Linked DNA regions of Callithrix jacchus. The protein of the gene in region 1 interacts with the protein of each later gene in a pairwise test. Links are inferred from orthologs where the notes say so. Each region holds a gene or a part of one and is shown in the gene's direction. Other genes may lie near its edges.

What was found.
Region 2: the proteins of HOMEZ (region 1) and NCK2 interact in binary tests that used the Homo sapiens proteins (3 or more experiments, as listed by UniProt). The two-hybrid records come from large-scale screens. The link is inferred for Callithrix jacchus from reciprocal best matches to the Homo sapiens genes HOMEZ and NCK2.
Region 3: the proteins of HOMEZ (region 1) and SMYD1 interact in binary tests that used the Homo sapiens proteins (3 or more experiments, as listed by UniProt). The link is inferred for Callithrix jacchus from reciprocal best matches to the Homo sapiens genes HOMEZ and SMYD1.
Region 4: the proteins of HOMEZ (region 1) and RNF8 interact in binary tests that used the Homo sapiens proteins (3 or more experiments, as listed by UniProt). The two-hybrid records come from large-scale screens. The link is inferred for Callithrix jacchus from reciprocal best matches to the Homo sapiens genes HOMEZ and RNF8.
Region 5: the proteins of HOMEZ (region 1) and ELOA interact in binary tests that used the Homo sapiens proteins (3 or more experiments, as listed by UniProt). The two-hybrid records come from large-scale screens. The link is inferred for Callithrix jacchus from reciprocal best matches to the Homo sapiens genes HOMEZ and ELOA.
Region 6: the proteins of HOMEZ (region 1) and LRRC7 interact in a two-hybrid assay, tested with the Homo sapiens proteins (2 studies listed by BioGRID). The two-hybrid records come from large-scale screens. The link is inferred for Callithrix jacchus from reciprocal best matches to the Homo sapiens genes HOMEZ and LRRC7.
Region 7: the proteins of HOMEZ (region 1) and SDCBP interact in binary tests that used the Homo sapiens proteins (3 or more experiments, as listed by UniProt). The two-hybrid records come from large-scale screens. The link is inferred for Callithrix jacchus from reciprocal best matches to the Homo sapiens genes HOMEZ and SDCBP.

Annotation. Positions count from the first base shown.
Region 1 is NC_133509.1:57,617,337-57,620,924, reverse strand, and holds the end of HOMEZ (homeobox and leucine zipper protein Homez), read left to right. Parts: coding exon 1-978; 3' UTR 979-2,795; downstream 2,796-3,588. Other genes in the region: E3 ubiquitin-protein ligase RNF212B, read right to left, coding at 3,350-3,418. UniProt on the Homo sapiens protein: May function as a transcriptional regulator.
Region 2 is NC_133515.1:15,944,635-15,948,626, forward strand, and holds part of NCK2 (cytoplasmic protein NCK2), read left to right. Parts: intron 1-1,790; coding exon 1,791-2,512; intron 2,513-3,992. UniProt on the Homo sapiens protein: Adapter protein which associates with tyrosine-phosphorylated growth factor receptors or their cellular substrates. Maintains low levels of EIF2S1 phosphorylation by promoting its dephosphorylation by PP1.
Region 3 is NC_133515.1:26,030,903-26,034,894, reverse strand, and holds part of SMYD1 (histone-lysine N-methyltransferase SMYD1), read left to right. Parts: intron 1-2,569; coding exon 2,570-2,759; intron 2,760-3,992. UniProt on the Homo sapiens protein: Methylates histone H3 at 'Lys-4' (H3K4me), seems able to perform both mono-, di-, and trimethylation. Acts as a transcriptional repressor. Essential for cardiomyocyte differentiation and cardiac morphogenesis.
Region 4 is NC_133505.1:45,698,062-45,702,053, forward strand, and holds part of RNF8 (E3 ubiquitin-protein ligase RNF8), read left to right. Parts: intron 1-3,636; coding exon 3,637-3,765; intron 3,766-3,992. UniProt on the Homo sapiens protein: E3 ubiquitin-protein ligase that plays a key role in DNA damage signaling via 2 distinct roles: by mediating the 'Lys-63'-linked ubiquitination of histones H2A and H2AX and promoting the recruitment of DNA repair proteins at double-strand breaks (DSBs) sites, and by catalyzing 'Lys-48'-linked ubiquitination to remove target proteins from DNA damage sites.
Region 5 is NC_133508.1:60,494,490-60,498,481, forward strand, and holds part of ELOA (elongin-A), read left to right. Parts: coding exon 1-518; intron 519-892; coding exon 893-1,004; intron 1,005-2,841; coding exon 2,842-2,997; intron 2,998-3,104; coding exon 3,105-3,202; intron 3,203-3,992. UniProt on the Homo sapiens protein: SIII, also known as elongin, is a general transcription elongation factor that increases the RNA polymerase II transcription elongation past template-encoded arresting sites.
Region 6 is NC_133508.1:107,306,948-107,310,939, forward strand, and holds part of LRRC7 (leucine-rich repeat-containing protein 7), read left to right. Parts: coding exon 1-1,245; intron 1,246-3,992.
Region 7 is NC_133517.1:14,796,458-14,801,069, forward strand, and holds the start of SDCBP (syntenin-1), read left to right. Parts: upstream 1-1,588; 5' UTR 1,589-1,615; exon of another isoform or gene 1,616-1,634; intron 1,635-4,612. UniProt on the Homo sapiens protein: Multifunctional adapter protein involved in diverse array of functions including trafficking of transmembrane proteins, neuro and immunomodulation, exosome biogenesis, and tumorigenesis.

The DNA of each region.
Region 1 (3,588 bases):
AGCAGTGGCCTCTCAAAGGAGCAGGCAGGCAGGGGTCCCAACCAGTCACACGGCATAGGTACTGCTTCCTGGAACCACTCCACAACTGTCCTCCAGCCACAAGCACGGGATAAGCCCCCACCAACTGCATTAATTGCCAGTAGTTGTAAGGAGGAGTCAGCATCTAGTGTTACTCCCTCTTCTTCCTCTACCTCTTCTTCCTCTTTCCAGGTACTATCTAATGGAGCAACTGCCACCTCCAAACCCCTTCAGCCACTAGGCTGTATCCCACAGTCAGTGTCACCCAGTGATCAGGCATTACCCCCACACCTGGAATCAGCCTGGCCCCATGGGCTACGGCATAACTCATTACCAGGTAGGGTTGGTCCCACAGAGTACCTATCCCCAGATATGCAACGCCAGCGAAAGCCCAAGCGCAAAACCAAAGAGCAGCTGGCTATCCTCAAATCCTTTTTTTTACAGTGCCAATGGGCACGGCGTGAAGATTACCATAAGTTAGAACAGATCACTGGTTTACCTCGGCCTGAAATCATTCAGTGGTTTGGTGACACACGCTATGCCTTGAAGCATGGGCAACTAAAATGGTTTCGGGACAATGCAGTACCTGGTGCCCCTAGTTTCCAAGACCCAGTAATTCCTACACCACCTCCACCATCAACCCGCTCCTTGAATGAAAGGGCTGAGACACCACCTCTGCCGACCCCTCCACCCCCACCGGATATGCAGCCCTTGGAGAGGTACTGGGCAGCCCACCAACAGCTACGGGAGACTGATATCCCTCAACTGAGTCAGGCTTCAAGGCTTAGCACCCAGCAGGTACTGGATTGGTTTGACTCTCGATTACCTCAGCCAGCTGAAGTGGTAGTTTGTCTAGATGAAGAAGAGGAAGAGGAGGAGGAAGAACTGCCAGAAGATGATGAGGAAGAGGAGGAGGAAGAAGATGATGATGATGATGATGATGTGATCATACAAGACTGAGTGGGGAGCTGGGGGAGGGGAGGTCTGTTACTAAAAGATGAACCAACTTAGCAACTGTTTAAACAAAGAAACCACATTTTTAAAATTACCTTGTGGCAGAGAACTAAAAAGTTTTGTGTTCTTCAGGGTGGGTGGCAGGGGAATGTAGTGAGGGTGAACCAGGGAGGATGACCATAGGGCACTAAGTAAGGCTGGGATTGGATCAGCAGAAATCCAGACCTCTAAGCTCAGTGTAGAGTGTACCAAGGATCTGGAGAAACCGTGGGCTGGGAAATGGCATTTGCCCTCCTCATGCCTGCTGTTCTTTTCCCTTAGTGTACTATAGAGAGGCCAGACCTTGGCCACACCTCTCCAGGAGGATTGGAAAGGAGTAAAGGATTCTAATTCGATTGATGATTCCAGTGCATCCCCAACCCTACCATCTTTCCTGGAATATAAGGCTCCCTTGCACTCCTTTTCTGAACACAAGTCTGTGTGTAATGCAACTGACTCTCTTACTTTTTTTCTTAATGACTGATCATTTCCTAGACAACTGAGATTCTCAGTAAGTCCCAGTCTCATCACAAATATTAACTTCCTTTTCCTCATACATCATGATTTTATATGTTTCACCTGCTTCATGACTGAATCACAGGTGGCAGAATATTTTCATTTCTTATGCTGGGACCACCCTTTGCCTTGTAGCTTTTTCTCTCTTTCCAAAATCCTCACTCTGTTCACTATTTGTCTCAGGGTAAATCTTCCCCCACTGAGCTTGTGAAAAACTTTAATTGGGTGGAGAATAATTTAGAATGGATATTTATTAGAAAAGAAGACCTTTTAAAAAGTAGAATTATGTTACAAAGGGGTGAAAGAGAGGGAACAGTTTCTCCTGGTTGAAGGGCAGTGGAGGTAGGTTTCAGGTTTGGTTTTACAAACCTCATAACGACCTTCTGTCCAGCTTGACAGAGACTAATTCTTCATCTTTTTGCTGCCAGTTTGTTTCCAGAAAAGAGACTTTTCCCTCTCTTTATAGGATCTGTCTTAGGGACAGAGGGACCATGGTCTTTGAGTCAATCAATTATTGATGTTTTAGAATGGTTTTCATTAGTTGGGAACAGCTATATGGCAAATAGGTATCATCAATGAGTTAACCATCTAAAAATAAAAGAGTGGAAGCCCTAAGATGCTAGAATAGTAATAAAAAGGCCAAAAATAAAATTGTTTCTCTCTCATCCACTTTGCTACTGCTATGGTTTAGGGATTAATGGAACCAAATCCATTAACATTCGAATTCAACATACTTTTATTGTTTGAAGGGGCAGGACTTATTGAGGTAAATTAAAAGAAAAACAAAAACTTTAAAAGGAAGTAGCTCAGCATCTATCACCAGGCAGATTGTTTCTCAGCCATCAAATGATAATGACTAAAATTTCTGAGGCTTCAGGAGTAACAGAGATACAAGAGTCTTGGAGGTAACTCCATTTGCTACAGAACAGGCTCTTGCCCAAAAGAGAAGGTGTCTAGAAATTCCTTTAAAAATAAATTCAGAGTACCAGAAAGGGTATGGGGATCCTAGTTCAGATAAACAAGATAATTCCCAAGACCTAATTTATTTCTGACAGATGCCTGCTATTTTCTGTTTTCCCAGTATTTTTGCTTAAGGCCAGTTTGTGAGTGGCTAACATATTAAATTCCTCATTTCTGCCATTTAGTACCCAAAGTCGAATACATGTTTGATCTCAGTGGTAGTGTTGTTTGCCATTCCACCATTCCAGAGCTTGTAATAGTGATAGAATCGTAGCAATAAAAGGACATCCTCTTAATTTTACTACCTATATATTTTACTAAGCTGAAAATCAGTGTTTCTAACAGTTGTTTTCAATAGAAAGGAAAATTAACATATTTAATAGTAATTAAGCATAGAGGAAACAATAGGCAAACAGAAAAAGTACAAGGACAAAGAACAGAGATGTTTTGTTTTGCTTGTTAACACTGACAATGGGAGAGTATATCCAAAGCTAAAAATTAAAACCAGAAATGAAACAGTGATGCGTATATGACCCACCACATCCCCATTCCCAACTCCCAACCAAATATGATGCCAAGAATTATTTTTACAATCTTTGTTTCAAGTTGTAGGAAATGAGGGAAGCTACCTGTGTCTTCTGGAAGAGATATAAACATCATCTTGAAGCGCTAGCCTTTTCTAAGACCTGACCACTGTCCTGGGAGGAGATAAGGGTGAATAGGGTAAAGATGAGGAAGCATAAGGTAGAGTGAAACCAGGAAACAACACCAGGGTACTTTTTCCAGAGCCATCACCCCAATGGGTACTGGATGCTACAGTCTATCTTTCAGCAGTATGTATACATCAGACCTTGAAGATCGTCTATCTAGAAGTGCTCCATGCTCCTCTTCTACTGGGTAATCCAGTCTGCCTCTGTTGTTGGTAGGGAGTCTGTAGCAGAGGACAAGAAGGTAGATGTGGTTGTTTATAACAACAAAAAGGGCAAGCAAATCTCTCTCAACCCATTGTATGAAGCTTATTGAGACAGAAACCACTGCTGCTTCCCCATAGTTTTTTTCATTGCATGACAACTAACTTTTCCAAACTAGGATTTGCTACAT
Region 2 (3,992 bases), on another chromosome or scaffold:
GTCATTTTGAAGAGTCTGCAAATAACTAAACCTCCACACTGGCTAAGGTAGAGGTCAAAGCACTCATCCTTCAGGACAGCCGAGGAAGGCCAGTCCGCCTCTGCAGGGTGTGTCCCCAGCTCTGGGGCTGACATGCTTTCCTCTCCTAGAATGTTCCGAAATTCCATGCAGTTAAAACATTTTTTTTTATTTTTTTTTGAGACCGAGTTTCACTCTCATTACCCAGGCTGGAGTGCAATGGCACGATCTCGGCTCACCACAACCTCCGCCTCCTGGGTTCAGGCAGTTCTCCTGCCTCAGCCTCCTGAGTAGCTGGGATTACAGACACGCACCACTGTGCCCAGCTAATTTTTTGTATTTTTAGTAGAGACGGGGTTTCACCATGTTGACCAGGATGGTCTCGATCTCTTGACCTCATGATTCACCCGCCTTGGCCTCCCAAAGTGCTGGGATTACAGGCGTAAGCCACCGTGCCCGGCCAAAACATTTTTACGTTAGGGCTTTTCTAGCTTTTTTCCTCATGCACAGGAAACAATGTTTCTCATTCCTATTCAATACTCACATCTGTGACTGAAGAAACAGCACTTATTGTAATTGTGTTTGATGCACTGCAATTTTCTACTTTATTCCCTTAAACTCAACACATACATATAGGCTGGTTGCAACCCATTAAAGTGATTTTCATCATCCACTAGTGGGCTTTGAATCACAGTATGAAAAATTTTGCCTTCGATTTAAGCTATCAGCTAATTTTTCCTAATTCACTCATCACAATTTGTTGTGGGAAATTAGTCTGCTGTTTGAAAGAAGATAAGAATTGCAAGAAGAGAAGAAAGGTTTTGCCCAGAAGGGCTGTTAAGCTGCCCAGGGGTGAGGGTAGGGGCAGTGAGTGTCCAAGGAGTAGAGGAAGCCATGGCAAGGCAGCTGGGGGCAGGACAGGGCAGGGTGTGGCCGTGCTCCCTAAGACTGGATCGGTCTTAGAGTTCTGAGTGGTCTTTGAATTCATTTAGTCTGACTTCCCAGTCATTCTAGAAATGAAAAAGATGTTTTCTCTGCGTTTATACTCTATTTTTCTGAGAGTCACAGCAATGCTCTAAAAATGGTTATTTCAGAAGGAAACTCTACTGTTCTTGTTATCTTTTGTGTCACTGGTACTCCTGTACTTTGTGGTTTTGATTTTAGAGACGGCCTCACCCTGTTGCACAGTCTAGAGTGCAGTGGAGTGATTTTTTGTAGACACAGGGTCTTGCTGTGTTGCCCAGGCTGGTCTCAGACTCTTGGCCTCAAGCAACCCTTCCACCGTGGCCTCTCAAAGCCTGGGATTCCAGGTGTGAGCCACTGTGCTGGCCCCATGACGTGTTTTTATGGGTAAAACAGATCAATGTAAGTAATTCTCAACTTGAAATACTTTCACAACTATAGGAGGCAGCTGTCAGCACCTAATTTTTCTGATGGTAATTCGGTTAGTCCGACTTCCCAGTCATTCTAGAAATGAAAAAGATACTTTTCTGTGTTTAGACTTTTTCTGAGAGGCACAACAGTGCTCTAAAAATGATTCTTTCAGAAGGAAACTTTCTACTGTTCTTATCTTTTGTGTCACTGGTACTCCTGCACTTTTTGGTTTTGTTTGATTTTAGAGACAGGGCTTCAGCCTGTTGCACACAGTAAGTACTGTCCATGTGTCCCCTTGTATTTAACCACCAGAGAAACTGTGTGGAAATCCCAGTAAGCTAGGGAGTGGGGTGGTGTCCAAGTGCCCCGCGCCACTGAGCCTTGCTGTGTCTCCACAGGCCTCGGCAAGACGCGCAGGAAGACCAGCGCGCGGGACGCGTCCCCCACGCCCAGCACGGACGCCGAGTACCCAGCCAACGGCAGCGGCGCCGACCGCATCTACGACCTCAACATCCCCGCTTTTGTCAAGTTCGCCTATGTGGCGGAGCGGGAGGATGAGCTGTCCCTGGTGAAGGGGTCGCGCGTCACCGTCATGGAGAAGTGCAGTGACGGTTGGTGGCGGGGCAGCTACAATGGGCAGATCGGCTGGTTCCCCTCCAACTACGTCCTGGAAGAGGTGGATGAGGCGGCTGCAGAGTCCCCGAGTTTCCTGAGCCTGCGCAAGGGCGCCTCGCTGAGCAACGGCCAGGGCTCCCGTGTGCTGCACGTGGTCCAGACGCTGTACCCCTTCAGCTCCGTCACCGACGAGGAGCTCAACTTTGAGAAGGGGGAAACCATGGAGGTGATCGAGAAGCCTGAGAACGACCCCGAATGGTGGAAATGCAAAAATGCCCGGGGCCAGGTGGGCCTCGTCCCCAAAAACTACGTGGTGGTCCTCAGTGACGGGCCCGCCCTGCACCCTGCGCACGCCCCACAGATAAGCTACACCGGGCCCTCGTCCAGTGGGCGCTTCGCAGGCAGAGAGTGGTACTACGGGAACGTGACGCGGCACCAGGCCGAGTGCGCCCTCAATGAGCGCGGCGTAGAGGGCGACTTCCTCATTAGGGACAGCGAGTCTTCGGTAAGTGCGCTGCGCCCGCTGCTTCTCCTGGAGGCAGTAAATGCGCCTTGCAAGGTGGCTCTGTGTGCCACACCCTTTTCACATTGTGCGAAGTGGGAGATGTAGATGAATGCAATTTAGTATAACGTTGGCTACTCCGTGATTTCCTTACATCTGCTTTGGGGATAGTATGTGTCCATTTCTGGAGTTGGAAGGTTAATTAAAAAATTTTTTTTAGCTCACAGAGGTGGTTCTGCTTCTCTCCTAAGATTCCCCCTCTTGTATTTTACGGGCTCAAACATCATTTTCTCTCCTGGTTGCCCATTCTGTGTAAGCAGAAGGCCCAAGTGATTTACTTTGTTTCTACTCGGTCTGTCTCCCAGAGAAAGCAGTCACTGCAAGCCTTGTGGCTGGTTTCTGACACTGCCTTTTGTTGTTTGCTTGCTTTTTCTTTGTAAACCATATAATCCCAAGGTCATTGCCTCGCCAGGCAGCGCCACTGAGTTCATCTCTGAAAAGCTTTTAAAGCACTTAGGAGATGAATTGAAAAGAAAACAAGGGTTCTTAAAAGAGATGAGTTTTGTGTGTGTGCAGTGAGTCGGAGATAGGAGGTCACTCGACTGGGGCAGCAGACCACTTCCAGCAGTGGGCAGGCTGTGGGGGTAGTTTCAGGCATGGGGTCAATTGGAGCCTGCATCCCAGAAGGCAGCCTTTTTGGGTGTGATGGAAATACTCCACCAGTTTTGCAAACGTCTTTCCGAATACGCTTTCTACAGAGAGACCCCCAAAACAAGCATTTGGGAGATAGAGTTTGATGTATTTGTATTGTATTGGTTCTAGTAGGCTTCAGTTTCATTTTTAAATGCACACTATAAGACTACTATGTACTACCTACTGCCACTGTTGTCCTCTGAAAAGGTTACTAGCACCATGAGTAAGTGTACATTCAAGAGTCCTGTTGACTGATCTGAGAGGCATTCAAAGCCTTCCAGAAAGAGGCAACTGCTTCTCTTGGGGGAAGGAGCATCGTGGTGGTGGAGACTGGGCTCCTTTATGGTGTCATCAATTTTGTGGAGCCTTAGATGTACTTGGAAGGGCATGCCAGCCTGAAAGCTAACTTCATCTGAAATCTGAACTCTGAGATTTTCTTATCAAGTCACCAGGGTTTATCATTCCTGGCAAGACATCACATTGAATTGTTCTCACATGATGAGAGCTCTGTGCACCACTTCCTTTAGATCATGTTTGAAGCCTTAAGCAAATTAAGGACAGCAGCGCTTTTAACTCAATCGAGCAGAAACTTAGAGAAAGCGCTGGAAAACCAATTACAATATTAAGTGCTTGGTCCAGAGTGCTTAAGGGCTAAGGATAATGCACAAAATATGATCTTGGCTTAAAATTCTTGAGTTTGAAGAGACTTCTCAGAGGGAAGTCCTGCAGTGTGGAGATATTGGCCCCAATCATTATTCTTTCTTCCTAGGATTTGGGGAAAAGAGGAAAG
Region 3 (3,992 bases), on another chromosome or scaffold:
GATACTTTAAATAAATGTTTATTCATAGTATTCTGCTTACTGCTTCTGACCAATTATGAATTAGCAGTTTAGGTTAAATTTTACTTCTGTCTTTTCTTAATGACAACCAAACGGCTCCAGATGGGTCTTTTTCTCAGGGTGGGCTTACCAGCCCTTGACATGGTCTTTGGATTAAGAACAAGATGCTGTGTGGGAGTTTGGGCTTTGGGAATGCTGGGGTAGAAGTGGCCGGTGCATTGAGTCTGTGTTGGTGTGCACTGTACGTGACTTTGGATGATTCACATCATCTCTTGGGCTTGGGTTCCACATCTGAAGAGAAAGGTCAAGAGGAGAGTGCTCTAGGGACCTTCCTAGTTCTAAGTGTCTGCAGCGCTGGGCTGTCTCTAACTTCCATGAGAAATAATTAAATAGGCTTCCTACTTGTGGCTCAATTAGCTGAACTATAGAATTGCAAATTGTTGGAGGTAGAAGGGGTCTGTGGTCCAGGGTGGGGATGAAGCTTGTCCAAGGAAGCTGGTTGGAGGCGGAGCCAGGGCTAAAACCCTCCTGCCTCCTGCAGCGCTTATTTCAGGCTGGTCACCATTCCCCTCTTCCAATCTCCAGTTTCAAGTAAGATAAAATCAGGCATACATGTATGCATTTTTTCATATTTAAGTGACATTGATTTAATTTGGTTTTGAAAAATGTCTAATGCCGTTGAAATAATCTGAGACACCCTGAGACAGTGCAAAAATTGGCACAATCATGGTGGGAAGAAAAATTACTGGAAATTCCAGCCCAATTGGCCACTGATTCACTGTTGAATTAGAATATGTCACTATGGTGAACTGCCTCTGTAAAAGGGACTCATTGGGGAGGAATTGGTTACTTACCCACCAGGGCTAAACACCAGAGATCCACACTCTATCCTGGCCCAGGAGTTGCTCACATAGAATTATTTAGGACATTAGTAGATTCCTAAAAAGCAAGAGCTTTGATGCATCTTAATTCCCCTGCACTGAAGTCCCAGGAGGTAGCCTGAAAACAACCAGGCAAGGCTGCTATGATGAGGGTATGAAGTTCTAATCCTGGCTCTGTCCCCAAAGTGTAGTGGGACCTATCCTTGTGTCACTATGCTCATTTATGGAATGAGTGTCCCCTGAAGCTCAGACATATTAGGATTCTAAGCAGAAATGTGAGCAGAATCACCTGGCCTTCCTCTCCTACTGGCTTTTCATCACTTCAGTAACCGCTGCTGCTGAAAATTAGGGTAAGGAATAAAGGAAAGGAGGGACAAATGGTGAGCAGGCACTTCAGGAGTTATTTTTATACATATTATCACATTAATAGGCATATCAGTGTATCTTGCTTTGGGAGAAGGATTTTTATCTGTAAGTGGTCACCTCAGATGCCTGAACATGGATGTCACTACCATTCAGCAGTTGCTCCCTTGATTGTCATCTCAGAGTACAAGGAAGGAGCTGTCTTTGACTGGGACTGTTCTTGGGTGCTGGAGTCTTGCCCTTGCTTTTGGATGGTGTCTAACTGAGCCTTTCTGGGATGTAAAAGAAATTACCACGGATCTCTGTGCAGTTACTCTCCTTAGCCCTCTGCATCCTGCCACTTGCTGTCTGGATGATGGCTTCCCATCAGGCAGGGGAGCCCCAGCATTCTGGGGAGATACAGGAGCACGGTTTAGGACCCAGCTTACAGGGCCCACCGCTTGTTTTCTGTAGCTGTCTGGCCTTGTGATGGAGAATGCATGGCTGAGAGGTCCACAGGCTGACCTCTACCTGTTTGGCTCAGCTGGATGTCAGTTCTGCAGTGGGTTTTTACCTTCAAAATCTTCAATATCTATCACATTAGGTAAGGTGGGTAGTGCTGTAAGTAATTGAGGGTCAGATCTAGGCTAGAAGGGAACTGAAATGCCATCTGCTCTTGCTAATCACCTTCAACCAATAAGCCACATGTCCCAATAAACACAAAAGTGAGCAATGCAGTGAGCTAACACAGCCAACCTTTGTTTGTTTGCCTTTGTTTATTTGCCTTCCCTTATGTAAGTCTCCTTATGTAATCTGGCCTAAACCACTGGAGTGAAGGTTAAGAGGTAACTTCAAGTTAGACACAGAATGGGCCAAGGTTGTGGGTAACCGAATGTGTATGTTTCTGAGAGAGTAGTCCCCAAACTAATCAGAAAAGATTTTCAGGTTTCTCTTGTTTGGAGTTTTTGCCTTATTTCTCCCTTTCTTTGTTATAGATAATCAGTAGCTAACTGTAAGGGGAGACTTACAGGCATAGACATTCTGCCTGGTTTTATGACTGAGCCCAGCTCTCTGGTAGGAATCTATCTGAGCTGATTCCAGAGCAGTTAACTCAATGGAGTGGATTGGACTGTTCTAAGGAATAGAGTAAAATTATACAGAAAACCATCTTTAGGTCACATTTCTTCTTTAATGGGGGCAATGGGAGTTTTCTGAGTGCCAGTGAAAGCCATTGTCTTTGAGGCCCAACTCCATGAAGCCTTGGAGAGCACAGATCCCATTTCAGTAGGCCTGGATTGAACTCACCTTTTCCTTTCACTCTGCTCCAGAATTGAGCTCCGAGCCCTGGGCAAGATCTCGGAAGGAGAGGAGCTGACTGTGTCCTACATCGACTTCCTCAACGTCAGTGAAGAACGCAAGAAGCAGCTGAAGAAGCAGTATTACTTTGACTGCACGTGTGAACACTGTCAGAAAAAACTGAAAGATGACCTCTTTCTGGGGGTGAAAGACAACCCCAAGGTACACACAGCCCTGTTGCTGGGGTGTTTGTGTCCATCTTCTCCAGGAGACAGTCACAGGTGGTTTCACAGCTAATCAGTGTGCCCTGCCCATGAGCTTCCTAGGGAGCAGCTGTCACCCTGGGGAGGTGGCAGAGGATGAGAGCAGAGCACTATATGGGTAGGTCCCAGCTATGTCCTGGCACTGCCACTTATAGGTGTTTGAATTTGGGAAAGTCGCCCAGTTTTCTCAACTGTAAAATAAGAATGATGGCCCCAAAGCAAGAGGTTCTTAGAAGGATTAAAGAAGATGATGTGTTAAAGGAGTGGCATGCAGAGTAGACACAGCAAGTTCTGGTTTCTCCTCTTGCTCTTTTCTGAGTTGAGTGATGCTGATAATTTAAGATGTTGAGATCAGATGGGCAAAGAGATTTGTTCTCTGGCTATCACAAAAACATTCCTAGTCCCATGGGGATGGGCAATGTGGAGGCAGGGCTATGTTTAGATTGGTCAACATCCTGAACTCCTGGGTAGCTATTGCCAATTGATGGTGAGTGTGTTGTGCAGCAGAGGAAGGCTTGATGAGAGGAGGTCAGGAACCCAGCTGAGCTGGGAGAAAGAGCTAAGCCACCAGGTGTCAGAGTAGCCAGTTAAAGCAACAAAGCAGAAATGAGAGCGAAGTATTTAATCACTGATTGCAATAGTATAAGCAAGAAGCTAAAACCAAAGAAAGCGCTGACTCCTCTTGTGCGTTTCCTCCGGTGAAGCTGTGTTCAGGGGGAGGATGAGGGAGATCAGTAAAGGCATGGAGGCATTTCCCATGGCAAGCTCTTTTATAAGGGTACCAGTCATATTGGGCTAGGAGCCCACTCTACTTTAGTATGATCTCACCTTAACAAATTACATCTATAGTCACCCTATTGCCAAGTAATATCTCACTCTGAGGTTATTTCTGGGGCTAGACTTCAACATATGAATTTTGGGAGGATGCAATTTAACCCCCAACACTGTGTATGCTACCACTTATGAATGTTAAAAGACACATACACACACATACAGACACACGCACACACCTGTGCCTGCAAGCATACTCTGTCTATACAGACAGAAGCAGGAGGAGGGAACTGTGACCAGTGATGCCTGGGGTGAAGAGATTGAGAGTCACCCCTCCCAGGCAGAGACAAAGCAGTTGGGGCCCAAGGATTAACGTTTTCTATGGGAACAACCTCCTTTTCAGAGAATCAAAGTTTCTGTA
Region 4 (3,992 bases), on another chromosome or scaffold:
TCTCTTGTATTTAGTTTTCATGAAGTTTTCTGCCCCAAGGGAAAGGATGGTTATATTTACTGGTTTGGGGCTTTTTGTTTTGTGGTGCTTTTTTTTTTTTTTTTTTTGACAGAATATTCCATCACCCAGGCTGGAGTGCAGTGGTGTGATCACACCTCCACCTCCTGGGTTCAAGGATTCTTCTGCCTCAGTCTTCCAAGTAGCTGGAAGTAGCTGGAATAGTAGGAATTACAAATGTGCACCGCTATCCCTGGCTAATTTTTGTATTTCCAGTAGAGAGGGGGGTTTCACCATGTTGGCCAGGCTGGTCTTGAACTCCTGGCCTGCTCGCCTGGGCCTCCCAAAGTGCTGGGATTACAGGTGTGAGCCACCACACCCGGCTGTATTTCCTGGTTATTTGGGAAACAGTAGAAATTGTGCGCAGGAGGAAAGGGATAATCATAGTGAAGGTGGACAAGGACAAGATGATCTTTCAGACCAACAATGTGTGTAAGATCAAAGGCTTGCAAATCTATTGTAAAGGAAAACAGCCCTTCACATAGGGGTCATCAGTCAGTTCCCACGGGAAATTTAGTGTTCTGCTGAGTGGTCCTGAGATTTCCAGGGAGCCTCACCACACTCTTTAACTATAGTATAGGTGAAATATCAGTAGTACCAAGGTAAATTCTAGGACCCGGCAGTGCAGGGAAGGATGTTTCCTTTTTCTGGGTTCAGAGTCTGTTGGCAGAAATTTCAAAAGAAGGCATTTTTCTACTGTTCTGGTACCATTTTCCCCAGGCTACTCACAATGGCAGTCCGGCTGTCTCCCTTCAGGTATTAGCCTACAATACAGATGCTTCCTTTCTTAGAAATAAAGCTACCTGAATGGAAATTTTTACTCAATATGGATGACACATTAATCCCTAACCATTCCATTTTTAACAGATATATGTATTAATTCAGAGGAACTTCTATAATTAATGTAATTCTGGCAAAGTGTGAAAGAACTGAAAAATTTCATGCTCAGTGTTGGTGGAGGGGTCACCACAGCATTTTAAAGAGGAACAAGTGAGACCATATGAGTTCCAACTGCTGCTCTATATTTTCCAATGGTAATACAGTCTCCAGCTTCCAACCTAAAAATACGCATCCTAAAATCTCCACTCATATGCAAGATCTCTTTATTCTACCATTCATTCTCAAGTATTTAACTGAACACCATGCCAGGTATAGAAACACAATGTTAAACCAGATAGATAAAGTCCCTGCTTATCTCATGTATATTCTAGCAAGGGGGGGAGGAGGGGAAAAGTAAAATAAGCAAGATAATTTTGGTTTGTGATAAGTGCATGCTAATAACTGAAGAAATATGATGGGGAGCAGACAACCAAGTTTAGACAGTGGTGATCTGAGTAGGCTTATGAATAGCCGAAACATGAAAGATTAGGAGCTCATGCAAGATCTGAGATAAGCGTGTTCTTAGAGGGGCGAAGAAAAAAGACCCTCAGTAGGCTGGCACTTGGGGGAGAGGGGCTTAAGGAACAAGGGGCTGGAGCAGCTAGTGTTGGCACTATGGTATGAGTTAAGACTAAAGAGGAGGGGGCTTAGGACATTCAGGGTCTTATAGGCCATGGAAGGAAGTTTGAGTGATTAAATGGTTTTAAGGAAAAAAGAGAATTATCTGATTTAAAATTTTTATGTTTCTATTCCAGCTAGTATGTAAAGTTTATGGGGGCTAGAGTGGGAACAGAAACAGTAGGAGGCCAGGTGGTTTGAACTAAGGTTGTGGCTGTAGAGCTAGAAATGAACAGACTTAGGACATATTTGGATTATATCCCATAGAATTTGCCAATGATTTCAATGTGGGGATGAGGGACAGAGATGAATCAAAGATGGCTTCTGGGTTATGGGTTGAGCAGTTGGTTGGATAGTAGTGTCAGTACTGAGATGAGAGTCTGTGGGGAGGAATCGATGAGGTCAGTGAGTCATAGTGGTCTTTGAGGGACCGAGGAGGACAGGCATGATTCTGAAAGATTTTTGAAAGAAAAGGGCAGTTTTTAGCTAACTTTGGTTTCAAGTTCACAGTTAAAGTTGTGGTATGGGGCATTAAAGAGGTCTTTTATGCACTGAGAAGAATAAGCAGGGAATTCTGTGATCTGGATCTCGGAAGAATTTAGTTTCCTTCCTTCATAGGGTTGTTATGAACTAGATTTGTCCAACAGGAAAGTATGATAGATGTGAATTGGGGCTTCTTTTCAACCTTTCCAAAAGCTCTCAAGCTGTTCTTGTGGATAAGGCAGAGAATATATACTCGAATGAAAAGACTTTTGGTTGAATTATAATTGGCCCAGGGTATATCCAGACTGTGGGGATTAATGTTCAGACTTTCCTGAGAACTTTGCCTTTGGCTGTGTCCCATTCTGGGTCTTGAATGAAGGTATAGAAGGCATCATATCATACTAATTTGGTGGGAGGGATATTAAGTATGTCTGATCTGATGGCAGATTAAAAATTCAGAAAGGTCTTGGCAAGTTGGTGTGATAGGCTGAACTAGCAAGATGAAATTTAGTAGGAATCAGTCTAAGGTCCTGTGCTTGAACCTAAGGTTTTCCATCTGGTCAAGTATAGAGCAAAAGAGACATGACTTAGCATAGCATTTCTTGGAGGAGGGGGAGACCAAGAAATTTAATCTTTCCTGAGTCCGAGGATACATTGGCAGTGTACTAGATCTGTTATGACAGCTAATGCAGTTTATACGGTCAGTGATAATATCTAGAACTGGGAAAGTAACACTTGCATTTGACTGTGTAATTTATTTTTCTTAATATGGCATCCAGGAATAAAGATAAATTAGCAGTCCTTTCACAGACTCGTAAGAATGGCAAAGAGACTCAAACCCATTCCCTGGGAGTTAAGTTGAAGTAACTGGGAATACAGAACCAGGAAATGAGAAAACTTAATGTTCACTTTATAGCTGTGACTTTGAAAGGGGATCAGAGATTTCCTGATGGTGCCCAGGGCAACAATGGATGGAATTTATAGGGTGAAAGACGCCAAGTCAGAGACATTAAAAAAATAGGAGGGCCTGCCTTATGTAAAGTACACTTCTGCCTCCTGGGTTCAAATGATTCTCCTGCCTCAGCCTCCCAAGTAGCTGGGATTACAGGTGCTCGCTACCAGACCCAGCTAATTTTTGTATTTTTAGTAGAGACAGGGTTTCACCATGTTGGCCAGGCTGGTCTCAAACTCCAGACCTTGTGATCCTGCCACCTTGGCCTCCCAAAGTGCTGGGATTACAGGCATGAGCCACCGCTCCCAGACCGGCAGTGTTTATGAGTTGATGGGATGTGTAGAAGGAATTCCTCTATCTCATGGTCACTGAACCCGATGACCTTTCAAGATCTTGCCAACCCTGAGGTACATGGATAACTCTTTTCAGCTTTCTCCTCTTGTCACAACTGTTTGCCTTTTTCTACTTGGTGGCTTTCATGGCAGCTAAAGAGGAGATAGCAGATGCACTGTTTTGCTTCCACACGTGTCTGTTTTCTTAAGTCAGGACCTGCATATGCTGCTGGTTGACAAGCTTTGTAAAAACCTCCCTTTTTCAGCACAATGACTTGTTACATTGTATTTCTTACATTGTTTTTGTCTTCCCAGGTGACTGTAGGACGAGGATTTGGTGTCACATACCAACTGGTATCAAAAATCTGCCCTCTGATGATTTCTCGAAACCACTGTGTTTTGAAGCAGAATCATGAGGGTCAGTGGACAATTACGGACAACAAGGTACAGAATTCATGGAAGCCTAATGAATATTATTTATTTTAAAATTACTTGGGGTTTTTTTTGCACAGGTAATTCATGGTATAAAATTCAAAAGTATAACTTCTTCTTTCCTAGCCATCCAGTTTCCTTTTCCAGAGGCAGCCACTTCCATATGCTGCCAGAGATTGGATTATGCTAAAATAATTTCTCTTGATTTGGGGTGAAGTTTGTTACCTTGAAGATAATGC
Region 5 (3,992 bases), on another chromosome or scaffold:
AAGTCGGCAGCCTGAAGAAGAGGTCTTTGCCCCCCTCGGAAGCTGCTTCAGACAACCACCTGAAGAAGCCAAAGCACAGAGACCCGGAGAAAGCCAGATCAGACAAAAGCAAGCAAGGTCTGGACAGCTTCGATGCAGGAAAAGGAGCAGGGGACCTGTTGCCCAAGGTCAAAGAGAAGGGCTCTAACAACCTAAAGACTCAAGAAGGGAAAGCAAAGACTAATTCGGATAGAAAGTCACTGGGCTCCCTCCCTAAAGTTGAGGAGACAGATATGGAGGATGAGTTTGAGCAGCCCACCATGTCTTTTGAATCCTACCTCAGCTATGACCAGCCCCGGAAGAAAAAGAAAAAGATTGTGAAAACTTCAGCCACAGCACTTGGAGAAAAAGGACTTAAAAAAAATGACTCTAAAAGCACTAGTAAAAACTTGGACTCAGTTCAGAAATTACCCAAGGTGAACAAAACCAAGTCAGAGAAGGTGCAGCCGGCTGGAGCCCATTCAGCCAAGCAGAGAAAGGTAACCCCTTCAGCCCCTTACTGGCTTCCCACCCAGAGCACCGGGCCCTGCAAAGCTCAGAGGATCGCCCTGTCATTGTTTTCCTTAGCTTGCTTTTAGGGGACCTGTTGAATTTCAGTTTGCAGTAATTTCCTCTGGGCTTCACTAGTTGTCAAGGTAGATTGTACCCCAAATAAGAATCTCCAGCACTATTCTGTTGTGATGGGCCCATCTGTATTTCTTTCCTGACTGAGGTGTTGTCAGACATGACTGTGGCCCCCCCAGCCTGGATCTTCCTGTGCAGGGTGTCCCGTGAATGCTCCTGGGAATAGCCTGTGGGAAAGGGGGCTGTGCTGGTACTCATGGTCTCTCTCCCCGGGGTCTGTCCCCTGCAGGTGCCTGATGTGTTGCCGGCGTTGCCAGACCTCCCGTTACCCGCAATACAGGCCAATTACCGTCCACTGCCTTCCCTTGAGCTGATATCCTCCTTCCAGCCAAAGCGAAAAGGTAATTTTCTATAATCTTCTTTTTCTTAATGGAGAAAAGATTTAAAAATTCATTCAAGGCAGCGTGCAGTGGCTCACACCTATAATTCCAGCACTTTAGGAGGCTGAGGCAGGAGGATTGCTTGCGGCCAAGAATTCTAAACTGGCCAGGCGCTGTGGCTCATGCCTATAATCTCAGCACTTTGGGAGGCCTAGGTAGGCATATCATCTGAAATAAGAAGTTTGAGACTAGCGTGGCCAACACAGTGAAACCCCATCTCTACTAAAAATACAAAAATTAGCCGGGCATGGTGCCACATGCCTATAGTCCCAGCTACCTGGGAGGCTGAGGCAGGAGAATCGCTTGAACATGGGAGCCAGCAGTTGCAGTGAGTCATTGCATTCTAGCCTGATCAACAAGAGTGAAACGCCATTTCAAAAAAAAAAAGTTTTGAAATAGGGTCTCACTCAACCTCAGCTGCCTGAGTAACTGGGACTACAGGCACATGCCACCACACCTGGTTAATTTTTGTATTTTTAGTAGAGATGGGGTTTCACCATGTTGGCTAGGCTGATCTCAATCTCCTGACCTTGTGATCTGCCCGCCTCAGCCTCCCAAATTGCTGGGATTGTGGGAGTTAGCCACTAGGCCTGGCCAAAAAAAAAAAAGAGTTCTAAACCACCCTAGTCAACACAGCAAGATGCCATCTCTACAAAATAAATAGCCAGGCATGGTGGCACATACCTGTGGTCCAAGCCGCTCAGTAGGCTGAGGTGGGAGGATCACTTGAGCCCAGGAATTCAAGGCTGCAGTGAGCTATGATTATATCACTTCACTCTAGCTTGGGTGACAGAGCAGTACTGTTTCAAAACAAACAAAAAACTTCTATCACTATACCATCAGATTTTTGGTGTATTTCCTAAGTGCATATACTCTGAAGTTTGATGGCTTGTGTTTGAATACCAGTTCTGGTTTCTAAAAGTTATATGACCTTGAGAAATATCTTAATTTCTTTGGACCTTAGTTGTATATTGAGTAAATGGGAGTTATAATGGCATCTGCCCTATAGGGCTCAGTTTGGTGAATTCGAAAGTGAAGTCTTTTAGCTCTGGGCTTATCACATAGTAATTGTTCAGTAAATTGATGCTGCTATTAGCAGCCCTTTATTCTATTTTTTACCTATGATTTTTGTCTGAAAGAAAAAAATGTCTAACTTCCATAGCAAAAGAACTAGAAGCCACATAAGTGTCCATCAGCAGGAAACTAACAGATAAATCATGGTTTATCTACACAGTGGCATCCTATGCCACAGTGAAAAAAAAAAGTAGAATGTCTTTATGCACTGACATGGAATGATCTGTAAGATGTGTATGTTACTGATTAATTGGCTTAAAAGGAATAAGAGACATTTGCTTTTTTTGTTTTGTTTTGTTTTGTTTTGAGAGGGAGTCTCCCTCTGTTGCCCAGGCTGGAGTGCAGTAGCTCCATCTTGGCTCACTGAAGTCTCCGCCTCCTGGGTTCAAGCAGTTATCTTGCCTCAGCCTCCTGAGTAGCTGGGACTACAGGCGCGCACCACCATGCCCAGCTAATTTTTGTATTTTTAGCAGAGATGGGGTTTTGCTATGTTGGCCAGACTGGTCTTGAACTCTTGACCTCAGATGATCCACCAGCCTCCCAAGGTGCTGGGAATACAGGAGCTTATTTTTAAAGTCTCTGGAAGAATCTACAAGAAACTGTAGCATTGATTGCCATTGGGAAAGGGAAAGGGAAGTAGGGGCTGATGTGGGTAGAAGGAGAGTTTTCACTGGATCACTTAGGGCCTTTTGTAACTTCCTGTTGGGTTTTTCTTGCCCTATAGCATTCTCTTCACCCCAGGAAGAAGAAGAAGCTGGATTTACTGGGCGCAGAATGAATTCCAAGATGCAGGTGTATTCTGGTTCTAAATGTGCCTATCTCCCCAAAATGATGACCTTGCATCAGCAATGCATCCGAGTATTAAAAAACAATATCGATTGTAAGTCACACGCTTCTCTCTAGCTCTCAAGCACATTGTAGCATTTGGACCTTATCACTGGGTGGCTTGGCTGCTATTCAATGCCTTCACCTTTGATTTCTCTGCAGCAATCTTTGAAGTGGGAGGAGTCCCATACTCCGTTCTTGAACCTGTTTTGGAGAGGTGTACACCTGATCAGCTGTATCGCATAGAGGAATACAACCACGTGAGTATTCTGTTTGGGTGGGAAGAGGGCAGTTTTCTCGCTTGTTCCTCCAGAAATTTGTGACTGCCTATGGCTGAAGGGCAGATCAGTAGTCACAGCACTGTTCTGGGTCTATGTGGTTTGCCACTGAGGCTTTAAACAAGCATGTTATTAGCACTTGCTCCTGGCATCTTAAGTGGGCCTCTTGGGCTAGGATCAAGGTGGGATTCAAAGGGAGAAGAAAAACACTTTTAACACCTCCGTTGAGCTTGCCTGGTCATGAAGGTCAAGGGAGAATTCTGGCAGCAGAGCAGCTGGGACCCAGGGTGGGGATACTACTTCGTGTTGACACTGACATCTGGTGGTAGGCTGGATGTCTCTTAAGAGACATCACGATCTATCCAGAAATCCTCCTTATGATGTGGATATATACATTTGATTGCAGCAGCTGTCTCTAATTCTGAGAGTTCTGTAACTTAACGCCTTTTTCTTGGCGGTGGGGGAAGACAGGGTCTACCTCTGTTGCCTAGACACTGCTGTACAGTGGCCTGATTATGGCTCACTGCATCCTTGAACTCCTAGGCTCAAGCGATCCTCCCAAGTAGCTGGGACTACTAGCACATACCACCACACCCGGTTAATATTTTTATTTTTTGGAGAGATGGACTCTCAAACTCCTAGCCTCAAGTGATCCTTTCATCTTGGCCTCCTGAAGTGCTGGAATTGCAAGCATGAGCCACCGCATCTGGCCAATAACTTAACATCCTTCTCACATTGTTTCCTTCCCATCACAGCATAGCATTGGGAAGCA
Region 6 (3,992 bases), on another chromosome or scaffold:
TTGCCTGAGAGGAAAGAACATATAAAGGAATCTACTGAAATACCTAGTCCTTTTTCTCCAGGTGTACCATGGGAGTATCATGATTCCAATCCCAACAGGAGTCTTAGTAATGTCTTTTCTCAAATCCACTGCCGCCCGGAATCTTCTAAAGGTGTTATTTCAATTAGCAAAAGCACAGAGAGGCTTTCTCCCTTAATGAAAGATATCAAGTCCAATAAATTCAAAAAGTCACAGAGTATCGATGAGATTGACATTGGTACATACAAAGTGTATAACATACCATTAGAAAACTATGCTACTGGGAGTGATCACTTAGGAAGCCACGAACGACCAGATAAGATGCTGGGACCAGAGCATGGTATGTCCAGTATGTCTCGAAGCCAGTCAGTCCCGATGCTGGATGATGAGATGCTCACCTACGGAAGTAGTAAAGGGCCACAACAGCAAAAAGCTTCTATGACAAAAAAAGTCTATCAATTTGACCAAAGCTTCAATCCTCAAGGATCAGTGGAAGTGAAAGCCGAAAAGAGGATACCACCCCCTTTTCAACACAATCCTGAGTACATGCAACAGGCCAGCAAAAACATCGCCAAGGATTTGATCAGTCCTAGAGCTTACAGAGGATACCCACCGATGGAGCAGATATTTTCATTTTCTCAGCCATCTGTGAACGAGGATGCTGTGGTGAATGCCCAGTTCGCAAGCCAAGGGGCCAGGGCAGGCTTCCTGAGAAGGGCCGACTCCCTGGTGAGCGCCACAGAAATGGCCATGTTTAGGAGGGTCAATGAGCCTCACGAGCTGCCCCCTACTGATAGGTACGGCAGACCTCCATATAGGGGAGGGCTGGATCGCCAAAGCAGCGTTACAGTGACTGAGTCCCAGTTCCTGAAAAGGAATGGCAGGTATGAAGATGAACACCCTTCATATCAAGAAGTGAAAGCTCAGGCGGGAAGTTTTCCAGTTAAAAACCTTACCCAGAGGAGGCCATTGTCTGCAAGAAGCTACAGTACAGAGAGTTACGGTGCCTCCCAAACCAGGCCAGTTTCAGCTAGGCCTACTATGGCAGCTCTTTTGGAAAAAATACCATCTGACTATAACTTGGGTAACTATGGTGACAAGCCATCAGATAACAGTGATTTAAAGACGAGGCCTACTCCTGTGAAGGGAGAGGAGAGCTGTGGTAAAATGCCTGCAGACTGGAGACAACAGCTGCTTAGACATATAGAAGCTAGACGGTTAGACAGGGTATGTCTGGCGTTTCTCTGTAAGAATATCCCTCCTGCCTTTAGTGTTACTTTATTGGCATTTCTAAGCACATGTAGGGAAGCATGAACTACGTGAATGAATTAGATGATCAGTATTTATCTTTATATTGTGGGGGAAATGGATCATAATAGTCTTTCATGGATATGACTAAATGCTCTCTGAGAGTTCATAACCTGCAGGGGCATTATTCATCAAATCTAACCTAAATATTGTTAGTAAGAAAGAATTTGACTCCAACCGTTAGAGGGGATGGTGCTTCAACTGCTTTCTAGCCATTAAGGCAAAATGCCTCTCCTAGGACACAAAACTGTTCTCTAGTGACCTAAAGAGTATGATTTTTTTATTAAACCTATAAAAGGAATATTTCCCCCATTTCTGAATGGACTCACTTATATTAAAGTCAGGCCTAATTTGTTTATAGAATTTACACATAGTTACTGCTATGGGACTACCAGTTATTATATCTAATGAGCAATAATCTTCCCAGTAAGAAACAGAAAAATAAGCAGGGATTAAATGCTCTCCTACACATTATTTTATTTAATAAAAACCCTGGCATTTAGAATGTTGGTTTTTATACAGAAAGAACTGTTTAAATTCAAATTATACTGCAGACAACAAAAATATATGATGTCTTTATGAAGACAACAAACATACAAATTAGTGTATATATTGCATCGAAAAAGAAAATTAATTCTAATTCAGTTAAAAATTGAGTCGCAATAGGCCAGGCATGGTGGTGGTGGTGACTCATGCCTGTAATACCAACACTTTGGGAGGCTGAGGTGGGCAGATCACAAGGTCAGGAGTTCAAGACCACCCTGTCCAACATGGTGAAACCCTGTATCTACTAAAAGTACAAAAAAATTAGCCAGGTGTGGTGACACATTCCTGTATTCCCAGCTACTCAGGAGGCTGAGACAGGAGAATTACTCGAACCCGGGAGGCGGAGATTGCAGTGAGCCAAGATTGTGCCACTGCACTCCAGCCTTGGCGACAGAGTGAGGCTCCATCTCAGAAAAAAAAATAAAAATACAATTAAGCCACAAAAAAGCATGTAATATACAGGGATTGGGGACAGTAAAAAAAATCATATGAAGCATGGAATTACATTTTGTTGCTTTTCAAATCTAAGAGAAAAAGAAACCTGATATTTCATTTTCTAGAACTATTATTAATTGACCATTGCCATTCAGTATACTTTGTAGCTTTAGTGTAGAGGGCTTAATGTGCTCTGCATTGATATTAGAATCTTAAAAATCCTTTTTGTAAAAATGGGGCTTTTTGTTCTCATTTTCTAGGGTTGAATGTTCAGCGTAAATTGGGGATCTGGGTAATAATATACTACTGCAATGTCTCACTCAGTAGTTTTATTATTTTATTTGGTGTCCTGCTAAAAGCACAGGTCACTGCATTTATTGTGTATTTCTTTAATACTGAATTTTATGTTTACAGATTTACTCTTTTCAAATAGTTATATTGCTTGTAGGTCGTGTCTACATGACAAGAAAACAATTTTTTCAGGGAAAGAGTTAACTAATAAATGTGGGTGTGGGTGTCTCAATGTGGAAACTGATTCTGCCTTGCAAAATATTTCATCAGAATGTCTGTTTCAAATAGGTTTGCTCAGTCCCATTGAAGGGATCCTCATCAAAGCCTCATGACTGGCTGTCAGTGGGAGACACCTGGTCAGTTGTCACCATGCCTTACCTCAAGTATACCCTCCATGTAGACAGATAACTTGGAGGGCGAAAATATTTGGGGCCAAATAATACAGTACAGTTTGGGAACTCTGGCCTTGTGTAGACACGACCATACATAACAGGGTAAGATGAACTAGTCAAGAAAGGTTGTAAGAAGCTTTTTGGAGCATATGTACAATGACTAGCAATTTGAGGCAACAGAGGAATGAGTGAAAACAAAGAATGAAAAAGAAAAGATAAAATTCTAAGCATTTGGTACCATCACTTAGTTACAGGTGTCCAGATCACTGGTTTCTCTCCTTTGATCCCAGCTACTGAAAAGTAGGTAACTCTTCTAGATGAAGCAAGAATTTTAAGCAGGAACATCGGGTTAGGGGAGAGAGATTTCAATCAGCAAAAGTTTGGAGGCCCTGCATATCCCAGATAACAAAAAGCGAACTCGCGTATTTTTTCATTGCTGTGACGACACTTCCTTTCTTAGTTGGTCTTCTTATAGCCTCTGTTTGTGTACAGTTCCCTAGGTGTCTTTTATTTTTCAAAGCAATTTCAATGTACATTCAATAGCTTCTCACTTAATTCCAATAAATTAAATGACCTTAGACTATCGCTTTGAGCTATCAGATCCTAGAAGCTCTTTCTTTTGTTTTCTCCAAGTCACATTTCTTTCTATCTTTCAGCTGAGTTAACTGAGCTATTCAGGCTATATCTTTCATAAAACTTCCCAGCTACTCAACAAGACAAATTCAAGGTACTGAAGCACAGACATTATGTAAAACTAGTTTTGACATAGCTGTGCTGCTTAACATTCTGTCCAAAGGCAGACTGCACCATAGAAATAATGTGCTTCTTTCCAGTGAAATTTAATTGAGTCATTTGAACCCTGAAAACCAAATAGTTACACTGGAAATTACAAGATCTTTGTCCATTCCACATAAAAGACAATTGCCTAGAGACTTGGATGTTGGATAAGCTTAACAGTTCAACATAACATTGATGAAAGATCTAAGTGTTGACCTTGAAGAA
Region 7 (4,612 bases), on another chromosome or scaffold:
GGCAGAACCGACAGTTAAATATCAAGTCCATGAAAATGGAATATCTTTAGATTTATTTATACTTTTTTGACTTTTTTCATTAGAACTTTGTAGTTTTTCTGGTATAAATCTTTAACATATTTTGTTAGATTTATACCTAAGTATTTCATTTTATTTTGGTGCTAATGTCAGTGAAGAAATCCGAAATATGAACTGCTCTAAAATGTGAAGCATTTTGACTGCTGACATGAGGACCAAGGGAATGGCTCACCGGACCATTTTGGTTTTTGGAGTAGGGATGGTAAAGCTGTAATTATATAATGAGAATTTCATAAATGCCAAAAAAAATCCAAAATTGGAAACATTTCTGGTCCCAAGCATTTTGGCTTAGGATCAGCTTGTTTTAAACTTGTTCATGAAAATTTACTGTAATTGCTTTTCATTCTATTTTTTAGGGGAGGGGTGTCAATTTTCCTGGATTTTCTATGTTAGATAACCATCTCATCTGAAAACAAAAAGTTTTATTTTCTCATTCCCAATCTACCTTGTGATTATTTTTAAACGTCCATTTTCATCAGCCTAACTACATATAACCTTACTGAGAGCAAAGTTTTCTTTTTTTATTTTTAATTTTTTATTGCATTTTAGGTTTTGGGGTACATGTGAAAGTTTTCATCTTTAGTTGTCACCTCTTTTACCCTCAGATTTTTTTTATTAGTTTTGCCAGATATGATTGTGGCACTAATTTAGCTATAAACTGCTTGTAAATGCTATTTTGTCAAGCACTCTACAGTATTCCACGGTAACTATGATTATTCTTGGGTAAACTGTGCCTCAGTCTGTCTGTAATGCGATGTTGTATTTATTTTATAGACTGATGTGAAGACCAAATAAGACTATACACTAAGTTCGTAGAGCTATGGCTGGCACATCATCAGCCCTCAAGAAATCATCGTTATGTTTTTGTATTAGGAAACAGTAATTACTTTTGCGCAGCACCACACAGAACTCTCAACAGCGAAGGAATATCAGCTCAGGCGGACAAAGATTAGTAACTTCCCCTTCGACCCCCCACATTTCAAACAGAAAAATAAGGCAGGAGTTGAGAAGGGGTAGTGAGTGAGAGGAACATTTGTGAGCCTATGGTGGAGAGGTACAGCAAGAGGAGAGTGAGGTTAGGACAGCAGTGGTGGAAGTCGAAGGCATCCCAAGAGGGAGCATGGGCTCCCGAGACCTGTTTGAATTGTAGGCGACCAGAACCAAGCGACCGTGAGCTGCTATACACACGGTAGTGAGTGGGTGGAAAGGGGCCAGCGGGCACGAACTGCCAGAAGAGCGGAGAAGACGCGGAGCATAACCGCGGGGCAGCGGCCAGTTGGCACAGCGGGCCACCTGCACGGCCCTACATTGCCAGATACCGGTAGCTGCAGGAACTACCCACGCCCAGGTCCCTTTACTCCCGCCGCCCGGTTACCTAGGGAACCGGATCACCTGACCCGGGGCCGTGCGCCTGCGCGGGCGGAAGGCGGGGGCGGTGCCGTGACGCGCCTCGGGGGCGGTCCTCCGGCTCTCGCCGCTCTGCTACCCTTGGGCCTCAGAAGTCCGTGCCAGTGACCGGAGGAGGCGGCGGCCGTGAGTGAGTCCTTGTGGGCTAGGTGAGAGGCCGAAAGGGGGCAAGAGGGACGCCGGTGCCGGGTCCCGGGCGCGGGGACGTGGGGCAGAGGCGTGATGGTCCCCGGGCCTTTTAACCGAGAGCGTCCTGGTCGCAGCCGTTTTCGGGAGGCGGCGGCGACGCCCTCTCCTCAGGGGCTCCGCGCCCCTCCCTGCGCCGTGCTGGCTGCGGGGCAAATTTGCGGGAGCAGCGCGCTCTGCTCCCCGGGACCCCGCGGGTTTCGAGCTCCTCTCCGGGCTGGGGCTGGGGCTGGGGTGGGTAGAGCCCCGAGGCACGGCCGGGTGAACGCCGGCAACCGCGGCCCCAGCTCTGGGATTCTTCCTGGGACCGTCTCTCGATCCTCGTTGTTCTCGCTCGCTAAGATCTCGAGACAAGTAAAGAAAGAGCCTCTGGCCGCGGTTTCTCCCCGCGTTTCTTGGGCTGCGCTTCCTTTTGGGTTATTTGGAACGTCCTGTCTCCCCGCGTTTCTTGGGCTGTGCTTCCTTTTGGGTTATTAGGAACGTCCTGGATTTGAAAGCAGGAAGGAGGTGTTTAGTGGGCGAAACCTTGACTTGTTTGGAAGCGGGTGGGGAGAGGTTGTTCGCCCTGAGCTTTTTCCTGGTGCTGTTGGACCTGAAGGAGAAACGTTTCCCGCAGAGTATGTTTAGAAGGAAATACTCCTGAGATCTGATGACTCACAGCTTTCCTTTCAGGATTTCCTTGTAATGATGGGAAAGGGAAGGCATATGGATGCGGAAAGTTTTTACTTTGATCAAAGTGGGATTATTGAGTCATGGAGGCTTCGAATGTGCACATTTTTGAAAGGAGTTTCTAGGATCATCTATTCTATATAACCGCATACACATTTACGGTTATTTTTTCCATTACGTACTTTCCTTAGAAAGTACACTCGGTTTACCGAGCTCTAACATCCGCTTGTTTAGTCTCTCCATTATAAACGAAATTGAACTTCAGAGACATTTTTAGTTTTGGGCATTATAGGAAAAGATGTAAAAGTCATAAAAGGGGAAGAATTTGCTAATGGTTGCCAGTTAAATGTACTGTTTAATTAAACAGTTTCTTAAAATGTGCGTGGCACAACTATTTTCCCTGTTGCCAGATTTGGGTCCTTTTTATAGGTATTAAATGCCAAGAGATTATAAAAAAGGAAAGCTCCCCAAACAACTTTAAAATACTTTCTACACTTAGTAATAGTTACGTTCACATTGATTAATTTTCTTTCAAGTGCTGCCAACATCTTTTGTAAATATTGTCTTCGAGTAGGTAAACGGTCACGTGTCTCAAAATTTAAGCAGCATACAAAGGTATATAGTATGAAGTCTCCTTCCTTTTGGCAGGCAGCCAACTGTTTTAAATTTCTTGGGTATTCATCCGGGAATATCCTATCTACACAGGCAAACATACAAACTGCATCTGTCTCCTTTCTTTTAACATAAACGTTAACATTTTATATACTGCTCCACATTTTGCTCTTATTTTTCCAGTTATTGATAATATTTTGGAACTTTCTAATATCAGCATATATAGCTTTCAGGTCTTTGGCTGTTACAGTCAGTGCTGCAGTGAATGAACTTTTACATATGTTGCTTCCTTTGTGCACATGTGTTTGTACAGTTCAGGTCTTGAAATGATACTGCAGAGTTGAAGGGTATTTGAATTTAGAATTTTAGTAAGCTACTGCAAACTCATTCTCCATGGGAATTGTACTAGTTTACGCTCCCACTAGTAGTGTATGAGTGTTTCTCAAAGCCTTGCTGTCGGAGAGTATTGTCAAACTTTGGATTTTTGCCAGTTCAGTAGCTGAGAAATGGAATCCTAGGGGTAAGAATTAATTATTCTACTTAGAGTGGACTTTATATGGACATACTTCTTAATGCCTGATCTTCAGAAACTCCCAGGATATTTATTAAAAAGCAGAGTACCTAAGTCCTTCCATGAAATTTGTATCTGTTCAGGAAGCTGAGGTTTTTTGTTTTTTGTTTTTTGTTTTTTTTGAGAGGAGTCTTGCTCCGTTGCCAGGTTGGAGTGCAGTGGCGCAATCTCGGCTCACTGTAACCTCCGTCTCCTGGGTTCAAGCGATTCTTCCGCCTCAGCCTCCCGAGTAGCTGGGACCACAGATGCATGCCACCACGCCCGGCTAATTTTTTTGTATTTTTAGTAGAGACAGGGTTTCACGATGGCCAGGATGGGCTCGATCTCTTGACCTTGTGATCCGCCTGCCTCAGCCTTCGAAGTGCTGGGATTACAGGCGTGAGCCACCGCTCCCGGCCCAGGAAGCTGTTTTTATAATAACTAGAGCCTCTGGTAATTTGGCTCTGATGAATAGCCATATTGAGAACATTGCTCTGGAAGGCTGCTTAGGATATATAAAATTGTGTTTCTAGACTCCATGTATGAGCTATCTGGAATGCTTACCATCTGGGGGACATGTTATTTTTTCATTTTTTTACTTTTTATTTTTTTTGAGATGGAATTTTGCTGTGTTGCTCAGGCTGGTCTCAAACTCCTGGGTTAAAGCAATCCTCCTACCTCGGCCTCCCAAAGTGCTAGGATTACAGGCATGAGCCATGGTTCCTGGCCTGATACTTTATTTTTATTTTTTACATTTTTCATTCATTTTATGAATAGTTCGCATAAGTGAAAATAAAGAGATAATGCAACACAACTTTACTAGAAATTTTAATAACTGCTTCAACAAAAGAAACACAAATTAGTATTCCAGATTTTCCTGGTTTTGAAGATATGGATAGTTGAAATAGGCAGCATCTTTAAATTTAACTAATTGCTCAACTGTCATGTAATATTTTTTAAAAATCAGTGATTCTGTAGTCCTAAATTTTTATTTTTCCAAAATGTTTTTAATACAGTGGTTCCCAACATTTTTGGCACTAGGGACTGGTTTCATGGAAGACAGTTTTTCTATGGACAGGATGAGGGGATGGTTTCAAAATGAAACTATTT